Oreochromis niloticus: one gene and its partners. The protein of the gene in region 2 purifies or fractionates together with the protein of the main gene of each other region. This does not show direct contact. Links are inferred from orthologs where the notes say so. Each region holds a gene or a part of one and is shown on either strand. Other genes may lie near its edges. The genes, in order: kif20a, mad2l1 and anapc1.

Region 1 (3,831 bases), on a different chromosome or scaffold from region 2:
TTTATGTTGGTGGTGGTGGGAGTTGTATTTACCTCCGACTAGGGGTGCGATATGACCAAAATCTCATATCCCGATATAAGACATCTATCGTCTGATAACCATATAAATCACAAAAATGTAACATTTTCTGTAAATTCTGTGAATGTCGGGCAGCTCGACTTGCGTGAAGTGTTTCCAGCTGGGCGTCGTGTACCTGGAGTCGAGTGTTTTAACTTATGCATGAAACGATACATTTTTAGACATAAGTTGTAACAGCCGCCGTTTTCTTTGTGAGTATTTATTACACAGCGTGCTGCGGGGAAAAGCCTGTTCTAACGTTTGAGTCAAAGGTTTATTTTTTAGCTCTTTTTTTGCTTCTCATCCGTAAATACTCTGCAGACTCTTTCACGTGATTTAGTTGATTTTGAAAAGTCTCAACAGGATCTTGAGCTTTATTGTGAAAGGTTTGCTAACGACAACGCATAAAAACAGGCGCTTGTCCGTCCGTAGTGTGGTTATATTAAAAATAAGAGAAAGAGAGAACTTTAAGAAATTAATATAGCCACTACAGTGACCATCAAAACGATGAAAAAAATATTGCCGTAAACAGTTTATTTTGCGACACCACGAAACAAACGTAAAATGAAACGATAGACGTTTTTATATCTCATCCGATATATATCGTTATATGAACAGCCCTACCTCCGACTGCTGCTCTTTGTTGCTTTCGTCGCATTCGTCGTCTGTGACGGTCCAAGTTTGAAGCAGGGATTTCGGAGTGCCCCATGTATAGCGTTGGAACCCAGTCAGGATTTGTTTCATCCATTTCATAGGCTGGTTTGCCTGCAATTATGCTAAATAATTAGCAACTCCATAAACAGAACGCAGTTCTGCAAAATCCCTCATTAAGATGTTTGTTCTAATTTGCTATGACTTCATAGCGCATCGAAAATAAAACGAATATGAACTTATTTAGAACTTACCCGAATGAAAATGTCTGGAACACACCAGCAGATATCTGGGGATGGTAGTGAACTGGATATCAGCACGTCTCACAGCTGCTATCCAGGCTAGACGCCTTCTTTTGGTAACATCCGATACAATAGCTCCCTCGCGTTGCCTCCAGGTGGGGAAACAATGAAAAGATAGCCCATTTTCAAGCTTATTCCCTTGCCGGTCGTGCGATCTAACGTTACAACCCAGCACACAGCAAGTACGAACCATAGCTGATGTTATTCGCGTGCTTTGTTTGGCCTACTAAAATGGCACCTCGACCAAAACTCCTGGCCACAGCCCCTCCCACGACGTCACGTTCCAAAGCCCATGCGCCATGCGAGGTCCTGTTAACCAATCAAAGGGAAGACAGCGATACACTTTACCCAATCGGCGAGCCTCCCTGTGGGGAAGCGCATTGTTCAAAAACCCAAAAAGCAATCGGGTAAAGCGGCTCAGCTGGTGCTAAGAGATCCAGACAAAGAGGGTTTGCTGAACTGATACAGTTTTACCTCACCGTTGGTTTTTGGCGATCTATCGTAAACATTAAGCTAACGAGCTTACTGGAAACCAGGCACATTTTGGACATTCCAGGCAAGTTAAAGTGAGTTCTACTTAAATGTGGGCCATACGACGTTAAACAAGTTAATTTAATAGTTACAAAAATTAATATTAGATTGTAACTATAACTGTTTGACGGAGGTTATGTAAGTGTGTGTTAAGCTAAATGCAATATCCACGTGTTTTGTGTGCTTGTTTTTGGTTTTGAGTGACTGCACGATTTTCCCATTTAAAACCAGGAAGCAAATCTCTTAGTTAGCATATATTGGTATATTGGTAGAAATCATTGTTATTACTTTATGTTAGCTAGTATAAACATTAAAGTGACTCTGTTTAATTCACTGCAATATAGGCTCCGTTTACTACGTCCTTACTGGGGGCTAAACTTGGCTACTTGCACATGTAAAAGTGCAGCATTGAGGGTTTTTTTTAGTTGCACTCAGTTCTGAGACATCTTCTTTTAAAGGCACAAAGTTGGCTTGCTTTAACAAGCAGTGAAAGGTGAAGATGCCTCGAGTGATTTTTGAATGCTAAACGTGGATTTTATACTTTTTAAATGCTGCTCAGTGTAACACGAATACCATTTGAATTTTTAAAAAAGGGAATGAAATTGAAAAACCGAGACTTCTAAAATCGCTCATCTTAATAGCTACAAAGAATAAGCACTACAGAAACCCAGTGCCGTAGGACCTGCTGTAGAGCAGTTGTATTGATCAGCACTAATGCCAAACTTGTCTGGTCTGGTGAAAGCCTGGGAAATATTTCCTGTTTGACTACTTAAGCAGGTTCAATTTGGCTTTAAACAGTAAACTAGTGTTCCTTTACCTGTCAGCTTGTTTGATGACGACACACCCATGTTTAACTAATTCATAGCAATGAAATGCTGCTTGAACAGAGAATAATCCCATTTACTACTGGACATCATTACATCATTATAACAAACAACACTCACACACTCGTGAGTAAGTTTAGTTTTTCATCTTTTATTGTATATTGCTGCTTTTCCAACACAAGCCTATATTATTCTTTCGAAGTGACTTGTGCACATGCCCTCAGTCAAGCCCATGTTTGAAACATTTTGCAATCCTCTTTTAATAGAATTACTACATACTAATGAAAACGTGTTATTCTTGGAACAGATAGACGGGCATGGCGCTGTCTTTGTCATCTCCGTGTGGATGCCCCTCTGATGAGGAGGAGGAAATGGCTGTGTTTGAATCTACAGCAGCAGAGCACGGAGGTTTGGCCAGACCACGTCTACCAGAGATCTCTGTTATTTCCCCGGGCCTGGACACAAGGCCATCCATTACAGGGCCGGTAAGAGTTCCCAATAAAAAAACATCATACGTCCCTCAGGTATAACAAAACATGTTCAGAGCAAATCTATATTAGATTTTTTGTTTTTTGTGTGTGTCTATATATATAATTGATCAATATTGCCAGAGGTGTAACAGTTTTTCAAAGCCATAATTTCATACCTCGCTTTTCTTTCAGAGGAGATGTATAACATTCTGTTTAAACTACATCATTCTGACACATTTCCAGTTCACGTGTTACCTCACTGATTCTTAAACACTGCTGCTTTCTTCAGTCTGGCAGGCTTTAAATAGGCATTAAAAGCCCAGATGGGTATTGCAGTAGAGCGAGATGCAATATGTAAAATTCTAAACCCTGGGATTGCAGTTTGGTGGTGTTGCACTTGTTAATATTTTTCCATTCTACCATCAAAACATTTACAAAGATGCTTGTGTGTTTAGAAAGTAGCAGTGAAACCTCAAAGCTGCGATGAAGGGGCCGCTGAGAGGGTGAAGGTTTTCCTGCGCATCCGACCACTTACGGACACGGAGCGATCCAGAGGGGAAGAGCAGGTAAGACATTAAGGTCAACATTGTTGTTTCTTCTGGGATAAAAGCTTTCAGTACTCTGTAACTGTACTTGAGAGTCTATTTTGTTTTTCCTTTAGGGTTGTGTGGCTATCCAAGACGAAGAGACCCTGCTGCTTAAAGCTCCAAACGACTCTCAGAACATGAGAGCAGCAGAACGAGGCATCACTCCGAGTATTCACAAGTTCAGTTTCACGAAGGTAGGAGAGTCATATTTGTAGCTTCTCTTTACTTAAACATATTGTTTCCAACCTGAAAACCCATTCAGAAAAAGAAACTGTGGTAATCACGTGATAATATTTTCAGAGAAGAACTTTAATGTAGTGGGGAAAATGGGAATGCTAGAGTAAAACAGTGAAGATGTTTTTTTCTTTAAATTTCCCCTTAGATATTTGGTTCTGAGACAGCGCAGCAA
Region 2 (3,600 bases):
GAGCACCTCGTTGGTTTCCAGACATGTAATCACCAACACCAGCTTTTGCACAGTGCACTCAAAAAGCCACTCTGCAACACAAAAAGAGCAAACAAATTTTTAATGATGTGTTGTCATGAAAGGTGAGAGATAGTTAAACTCCCTAAAAACATAATACAAAGATGTAGAGAATTTTGTATCCACAACTATATCCAAAAGATCACGAGTTCTACGTCTGTGAGAAAAATAGCCATTCTGAATATGGGCTGTAAATGCAAATGTACACTAAATATTGTACACATTGTGGCAAGAATGACCACCCTCAACCATAATGTCTTTATCTAACCAACATCATCAATAATTCAGTAACCATTCTGACTAACACCAATTCTTAAAATCCCAATAATCAAGTTAAAACATCTTTAGAACTTAAAGGAGAAAAAGCACTTATACTCTGTGCTCCTAGATATGATTTGTATTCTGTAATTTTACTACTCTTAGCATTACACAGTTGAGAGCTTCAGTGATTTGACATAAGCACCCAAAAATATGAATATTCTGATATGAATTACATTAACTAAATTTGAACTGAAAATCCAGAGACATTTATTCTATTTAGTTTTATTTATATTGCACTAAAAATCACAACAGTCACTTCAAGAGACTTTATACTTTAAAGTAAAGACCCCCACAGGCTTAAAAAGAAAAACAATCAGATGATCCAAGAACAGCAAGCACTAGGCATTGATGGGAATGAAAAACTTCTTTTCAACAGGAAGAAACCCGAGGAGGCAGCCATCAACAGTTGGGGGCATTGGATTTAAGAACAAAATAAAAAATAAAATATAATATTACAATGGCATCACCTTGGACAGAAAAGGGTGCACCGATCTCTTTCCTCATTCACACACATAAGTATTTATGGCAAAATCAAAAATTGGCAAATCAAAAATGAAAAAAAAAATCTAAGTGTTTTTAACCAGAAATAGCTTGTAGTTCACCTGACAAGAGCCTAAGAGTAGCTTAACACAAATTTGTGTAACATGGGAATGGAAACTCACGTGTGCTGCTTTGTATGTTACTTAACGTTGATCATAAGATGCCAGGTCATACCAATTAAAATCTCAGGCATGAGTCTAATAGGCATCTGAGTTCATCCAATTCAACACAACAAAAAGGGGAGGGGGAAATGCACCACCATGTGGCCCTACTCAGAAATCGCAATTAACAAGTTACTATAAACTATCATTTATTGAGTAAAGACCGATAACCGAATTATCAAAATAAATAGACAAAATCATTCATTGTTCACAAACATCATCTTATTTTGTATTTCAGTACGGCTTAAGCCTTTACTTTTTCTTGTTGAGTTTTTCCACTTTCTACTTGGTTGTGTCACGAGTGGAGAAGCCCACTATTGAGATACCTTTAAGTTGAGACACCACGTTAGTCAGATAGTTCTTCAGCTTGAGGTCAGTAGTGAGTTGGAGACTCATGTCATAGTGGGTAACTCTGGTAAATGTCTCTGGAGGATAGATGCCCCGTTGGTACAGGATGCTGTTGATGCCGAAAGCTGTTTATGACAAAGGGGGAAATCAAAGGGTTCAAATACGCCAGAATTCTAGTATTCGTAAAATTTAGAGGCTTATGTGGTTCAAACTTAAAAGGGATAGAAGAGTATAAAAACAACTACACACAAACAGCTAATAACACGAGAGAAAACTAACTGGGAATCAATGAATATATTAGCTCGGCAGAATAGAAACCATATATGGTGTACATTCACGATTCTCACTACAAGGGCCGAAAACTAGACAGTCTTTACAAATTATTCGGTTTGAAGTTGTGAATTGACGCTTATAGGATACGTCAGGCTTAAACACTTTATTTTTGATCAACAGCTTGTCATGTGAGTGCATACATGCTGCGTTGATGCTAATATGTTATCGGGCACTATGTAGGCCCAATAGCATATTAGCTTTACATGCATGCATGTCGAAAACGAGCGACTAAAAGATGAAATAACAGAAATACTTACAAAAGAACTCGGCTACTAACTCCGCGCTTCCTTTGAGAGTAATTCCCTTCAACGTGCTTGTCATTTTCTTAACACTTTGGTTGAGTTCTCAACAATAAATATATTGTACGTTTTTCTTTTAATTCTTCTTCTACGTCTTCCGACTTCAACTACCCGCCACCCAGTTTGAATTTTGTCAGCTTCCACACAATTGCGCATGCGTGTGAGATTGGGGCGCAAGGTTGATGACGTCTTAGGTTACGCTTACAATTTTGCGACACTAGAGAGCAGTGTAGAATAATAATTCAACGCCACGGTCTGAACGTTACACAGGATTGTTGGCATTTATTTATTTTCTTATGTTAAAGCCATTTCTATCTTTTAATTGACTGTATATTATTGTAATGTGTCACTGTGCAAATGACTGAAGTAATAGGTTAATATTGTAGATACCACGTTTTAATAATCCTAAAGGGGTCCAAACAACCATTGTATGCAGACTTGGAAAAGTCCCTCAGCTTTCACACAAAAGAATCAAAATTGCAAAACAAAAGAAAGACAATTTCAGTTAATGCTAGCTTTTAAGTCTTGTTGGCGCTGTACTTCTCTTTTTGCTATGTGCTTTTTTATATATATATCATAGATGTTTTTTTCTCAGTCAGTAATTGGCTTTTTCTTTCTGGAGGAAAGCCATGCGGGACCTGCACACCTCCAGGACCACTAAGTGGGCAGATTAGATTTGACCAACTTCTCCCAAAATTAATGAAAAGCTTCGAACCTTCTTTGGGAAACTTGTGATTCATGAAAAATGGCTTCTTTCCAGCTGCAGCTGGTCTCATTAACAAGGTCCCCACACAGACACAGGATATGAACACCACACATCAAACTGTCAGAAAGTATTATTATTTACACATCTGTTAACCTTCACTTCTAATTCGTACGTTTCATTTACATTTGAAACATCAGACAGTACTTAGTAGGTGAAAATTTACAGTCATTCATATTTAGGTCAGGTAATGTTTTTTTCTCAAATTTCTATTTCATATTTACAGTGTTTTGACTATTATGGTACTTGGATTTTCTCACACTTTGTATATTTTTTTTACATACCCCAGTGATCTCAGAACTTTGTTTTCCAGACAATTGTTCCCTGGTATCATCTCCTAAGACAAATTGATTTGGGTGAAGAGTCGAACGAACTGTGATTCAGAAGATACCTATGATGATAAAACCTATGAAATATGATACCTCTTCCAGGAAAGGGATACCTCAGCCCTACCACTGAGGGGCCCACTGGCAAGTGTATGGTGGCCAGGTCATAACTCATGGGGACCTGCCAGACTCTGACTGAATTATCCACATGGGCCAGTCTGTCTAGTGGGCCCACCACCTGTAGGAGAGGCTGTAGGAGTCAGGCACTATTTTGCTAAGGGAGGGGGTGGACTGGTTCTAGGAGGGAAACAGCTGGAACTTATACCACAGGTTGCAAGATAGGAAATACATATGTATGGCCTCACCTCAGTGGGGATAATAGGTTCTGAAACCAATCTTTTTTTGAAGTACTGCCCACAACTAGAGTTGGTTTTGATGAAAGATAAATGCAG
Region 3 (3,831 bases), on a different chromosome or scaffold from region 2:
CAAATGTTGAAAACACATCCCTAAATCAAATTATATTTTGTTGGTGTGCAACAGACTACTGAGTGAAAGACACTCGTAAATACACATAGCTATGCACACACATAAACTCACACACACTTACTTCCCACTGTCAGTGATGCAAATTTTCTATCATTACTGGTTAACCAGAAAATGGTTACCCAATAATGGCTCTGAGAAATATCCCTAATCCAAATGTGGTGGGTTGTGTGGTTTTAGTTCAGCTGCGAGGTGGGGTAATGTTTCAGAGACTTATGCATCCACTAATCAAATTATCCTTTTATTCAGCAGCGTTCTGGAACATGGGAGACACACAAAGAAGCCTGCAGTTACTGCTGTATGTCAGCGTGCATCTGTGTTGAGGTGGAAGTTTAGGTAGTGGAGGTCCAACTGAGTCACACAGATTTAAAAGAATTTTGTGGCTCATGTGTAGACCCATCTCCTTCTCTGGATATAAACATTCCCCATTGCTCTATACCTCACCTGGAAGGGCAGTGGTGAGATGAAGTCTTTTCCAGTCATGGTGTGAACATTAACACAGCTACTCTGGACAATACACACTGTGAGCTCCACTTCTTCCTCTGCAAAACATTAAATACATTCTGTGTTTTGTTCATCAGGACTGCAATATGAATAAGCAAAAAACTGCACAAAAAGACACAGTACCATCATTCTTCTTGTGAGGAGCAGCAAAGTTGCACCACAAGGCCTGGAGATAATAAAAAAAAAACTGTTTCAAGTCTTAGAGCACAGAATCCTGACAATCATCGCGGACGATATACAATCCATATAGTAAAGCAAAAGCCATACTGATTCCTGACAGAAAACAACATGGTCCCTCATTTGCCCTTAGAAATGAGAATGGACAAGCACAATTATGAGAGACCATATAGTACACAAAACAATCAGAAACAGACCTGCTGCACTGGGCTGTCAACAGTGAAGGCCTTATATACGCTGGAAGCTTGAGCCCTACTACCCTGGCTCCAGACAACCACGTTTCCTGCTGCATAGAGTTCTTCTTCAAATTCCATATCTTCCTCTTTGACTCCCTTGCAGCCCTTCCTAAGCTGCCAAAATTCCTGCCATTCAAATCACATCAACACAAAAACCAAATCAAAACCACATTTGAGCTTAACAACACATGAAGTACTGCCTTCATGAAAGCAGTGCAGCAGTGTTGTAACAATTGCATTGACTATATTACTGTAAAAAATAAATAAAAAATAAGTAAAGATTTAAAGTAATTAAAGATATATTAATGAAAAAAAATTAAATCCTTTAGGTGTATTCCATTTACCATTTTTCTTCTTATATTTTTACTGTTTAATACACACTAGTTCTTCTGAAGAGCAGGTCAGGAGAACAATTCAGGCTATCCATTAAATAAGACTGTTAGATGGCCCACTCCTATTATGAAACATTATAGATCATAATACTAGACACTCTCACCCTCTCTCTCTCCTGCAGACTGACTTCCTGCAGGGACCCCACCAGGCCAGCAGCACCATCTGATGCCCACAGCTCGGAGGCAGGCTGGAGCTCTCTGAGCTGCAGGTTGAAGGCGTTTGGATGGTTCCTGCAGTGCTCGCGGCCAAACGGGACAAATGACTGCAATTCCCCTGCGGCAATCATCGTGGCTGTCTCTTCATACACGACTTCCGACATGAGTTTCAGATATCAGCATTATTTCTGGGAAGAACAGAGTTTGAGGTATAAATGACAGTATTTAAAAGCAAGCAAGACTTTTTTCCAGACACAATACAACTGAAGAGCATCACCAATTTGCGCCATACCAGTCCGTTTAGCTGTAGTATTCATATCGATTATTTAACACGATAAAAATAAAGTATGGATCCTCGAGACAAGTTTACTGTAGTATTTAAGAACCAAGAGTTTCACATAAACTGTTCTTTCATTTTCTCTTTATAACATTAATGATGAGATTACTTTTATCAGTAGGCTATCTGTAAAGTACAGTAAATACCAGTGAGTATAAGATGAGGTGTAAATAAACTTCTTCTGCGTAAATAACTTTATTTCATTTACTTGACTGTAGGACAGATTGCATTACTGGTGGCTAAATAATGTTCTCTATTAACACATCGACAACTTAGCTGGCTGAAGCAGGCTCACTGGACCTTTACTATTACTGAAACTATCCCGTTAGAGGGGTCAACATAGTAGGGGATAGAAATCTCATTAACAATTTCCACAGTACTTCCACCGTAGCAAGTTTCTGTTGACTTTGATAGACGCGACATGCTAGAAGTTAGCTGGAAGTTCTTACCTCAAAAACTCCCACAAACAAAATTCGGTACTCTACAGACACTAAGACGCTGTAAATTACATAAATATACAACTTGACAGTCAGCTATGAGTCTGCATGCTGACACTAAACACCATTGAAACGGCCCGACTAGCATGCTAGCTACCATTAGCTGCAGCTAGCTTTAAGCTTACAGGGAGACATTTAGCCGCTAACCTGATAATAAGGAATAGTCTGGCCCTTGTCGCGGAGTCCTTATCTTTCCTTTCAATGCGTCTCGCTTGAGCACAACGTTGTCACCCTACAAACATAAAGACAAGTGGCAAATTCCGTATTCGCCTATAGCAGGTTTTCAAATGAGCGCGGACATCTTTGCTGTCCCGACATCCCATTCCTCCACGAGTCAGCCAATCAGCAGCGAGGAGGCGATATGCTGACAGCTGATAGGCTGCCTTCGTCAGCGCTATGGACACTACTAAGAAAGACTGTGATGAGCAGGATGTTTTATATAAGTAATTCAGCCACAAATTAAAAATATAATATAATTAATATAAAATATAATTTAAAAAATAAAATACCAACAGTATTTGTAGAAAATCTAGGTATATATAGATATTTGAAGATGAAAAATAAATAAATAAAACGAAACTCATTTGTTTATGTCTTTCTTTAGGGACATTTACTATTAGAGACCATTGGTAAATTTGCACTTGAGGCTTCCAGTAAAGTGAAAGCTTTCGGAAAGGAAAGCAAGAGGCTCAGAGATGTCGAGGATATAAATAATACTGCACAATAGGCTACTTCAATGCAACCAACACCCTTACCTCTTTAAACTGTATTTATTATAACATTATTTAGTATAGTTCCAACAGCACCCCCCCCCCTCCCCCCACTCAATGTGCAATATCATCCCGCCCCACACACACACACACACTCAATGTGCAATATCATCCCACCCCCCCACACACACCACACTCAATGTGCAATATCACTGATCACACTGCACTGTTAGATGGCATGTATGTGTATGTATATAGATGTAAGCGTGTATGTGGAAATATGTGTGTGTATGCATGTACGGATGCAAATATATATATATACATATATGTGTGTATGTGGGTGTATGTTTGCAGGTGTATGTATAACTTGTGCATATCTTTCTTGTGTAAATGTAAATTTGTCTGTTATTGTGTAAATACTTACGCTATTGTGTACTCCACACACATGGAGAGATGCCAAACTGCCTTTCACTGTTCTTGTAACAGTGACAATAAAAGGCTATTCTATTCTATTCTATTCTATTCTATTCTATTCTATTCTAATACTACAAATATTATGTCTTGTAGCAATAAAACGTTTTTGAATATCTATTAAATTTATTTAAAGCTGTAATTTAATTATGTATTACCCCCATATTTCTGCTGTTCAACCCTTCTATATGTGAGGGCCAGTCTATCACAACAAATTGGGTTTAAAAGGAGGATGGCTTTAAAGAAAGATAATCTAAAATATTTTTAGACGGCGAATAAATTTTACCAAGGTCT

The links.
Region 1: the proteins of mad2l1 (region 2) and kif20a purify together in Homo sapiens (affinity purification with mass spectrometry; 4 studies listed by BioGRID and IntAct, with this or other methods). This does not show direct contact. The link is inferred for Oreochromis niloticus from reciprocal best matches to the Homo sapiens genes MAD2L1 and KIF20A.
Region 3: the proteins of mad2l1 (region 2) and anapc1 purify together in Homo sapiens (affinity purification with mass spectrometry; 3 studies listed by BioGRID and IntAct, with this or other methods). This does not show direct contact. The link is inferred for Oreochromis niloticus from reciprocal best matches to the Homo sapiens genes MAD2L1 and ANAPC1.

Annotation. Positions count from the first base shown.
Region 1 is NC_031975.2:12,692,419-12,696,249, reverse strand, and holds the start of kif20a (kinesin-like protein KIF20A), read left to right. Parts: upstream 1-1,397; 5' UTR 1,398-1,576; intron 1,577-2,672; 5' UTR 2,673-2,682; coding exon 2,683-2,850; intron 2,851-3,290; coding exon 3,291-3,401; intron 3,402-3,496; coding exon 3,497-3,616; intron 3,617-3,804; coding exon 3,805-3,831. UniProt on the Homo sapiens protein: Mitotic kinesin required for chromosome passenger complex (CPC)-mediated cytokinesis. Following phosphorylation by PLK1, involved in recruitment of PLK1 to the central spindle. Interacts with guanosine triphosphate (GTP)-bound forms of RAB6A and RAB6B.
Region 2 is NC_031967.2:3,973,841-3,977,440, forward strand, and holds the start of mad2l1 (mitotic spindle assembly checkpoint protein MAD2A), read right to left. Parts: upstream 2,220-3,600; 5' UTR 2,082-2,219; coding exon 2,018-2,081; intron 1,553-2,017; coding exon 1,406-1,552; intron 72-1,405; coding exon 1-71. UniProt on the Homo sapiens protein: Component of the spindle-assembly checkpoint that prevents the onset of anaphase until all chromosomes are properly aligned at the metaphase plate.
Region 3 is NC_031978.2:10,099,522-10,103,352, forward strand, and holds the start of anapc1 (anaphase-promoting complex subunit 1), read right to left. Parts: upstream 2,697-3,831; 5' UTR 2,504-2,696; intron 1,711-2,503; 5' UTR 1,687-1,710; coding exon 1,471-1,686; intron 1,101-1,470; coding exon 936-1,100; intron 728-935; coding exon 685-727; intron 600-684; coding exon 502-599; intron 1-501. UniProt on the Homo sapiens protein: Component of the anaphase promoting complex/cyclosome (APC/C), a cell cycle-regulated E3 ubiquitin ligase that controls progression through mitosis and the G1 phase of the cell cycle.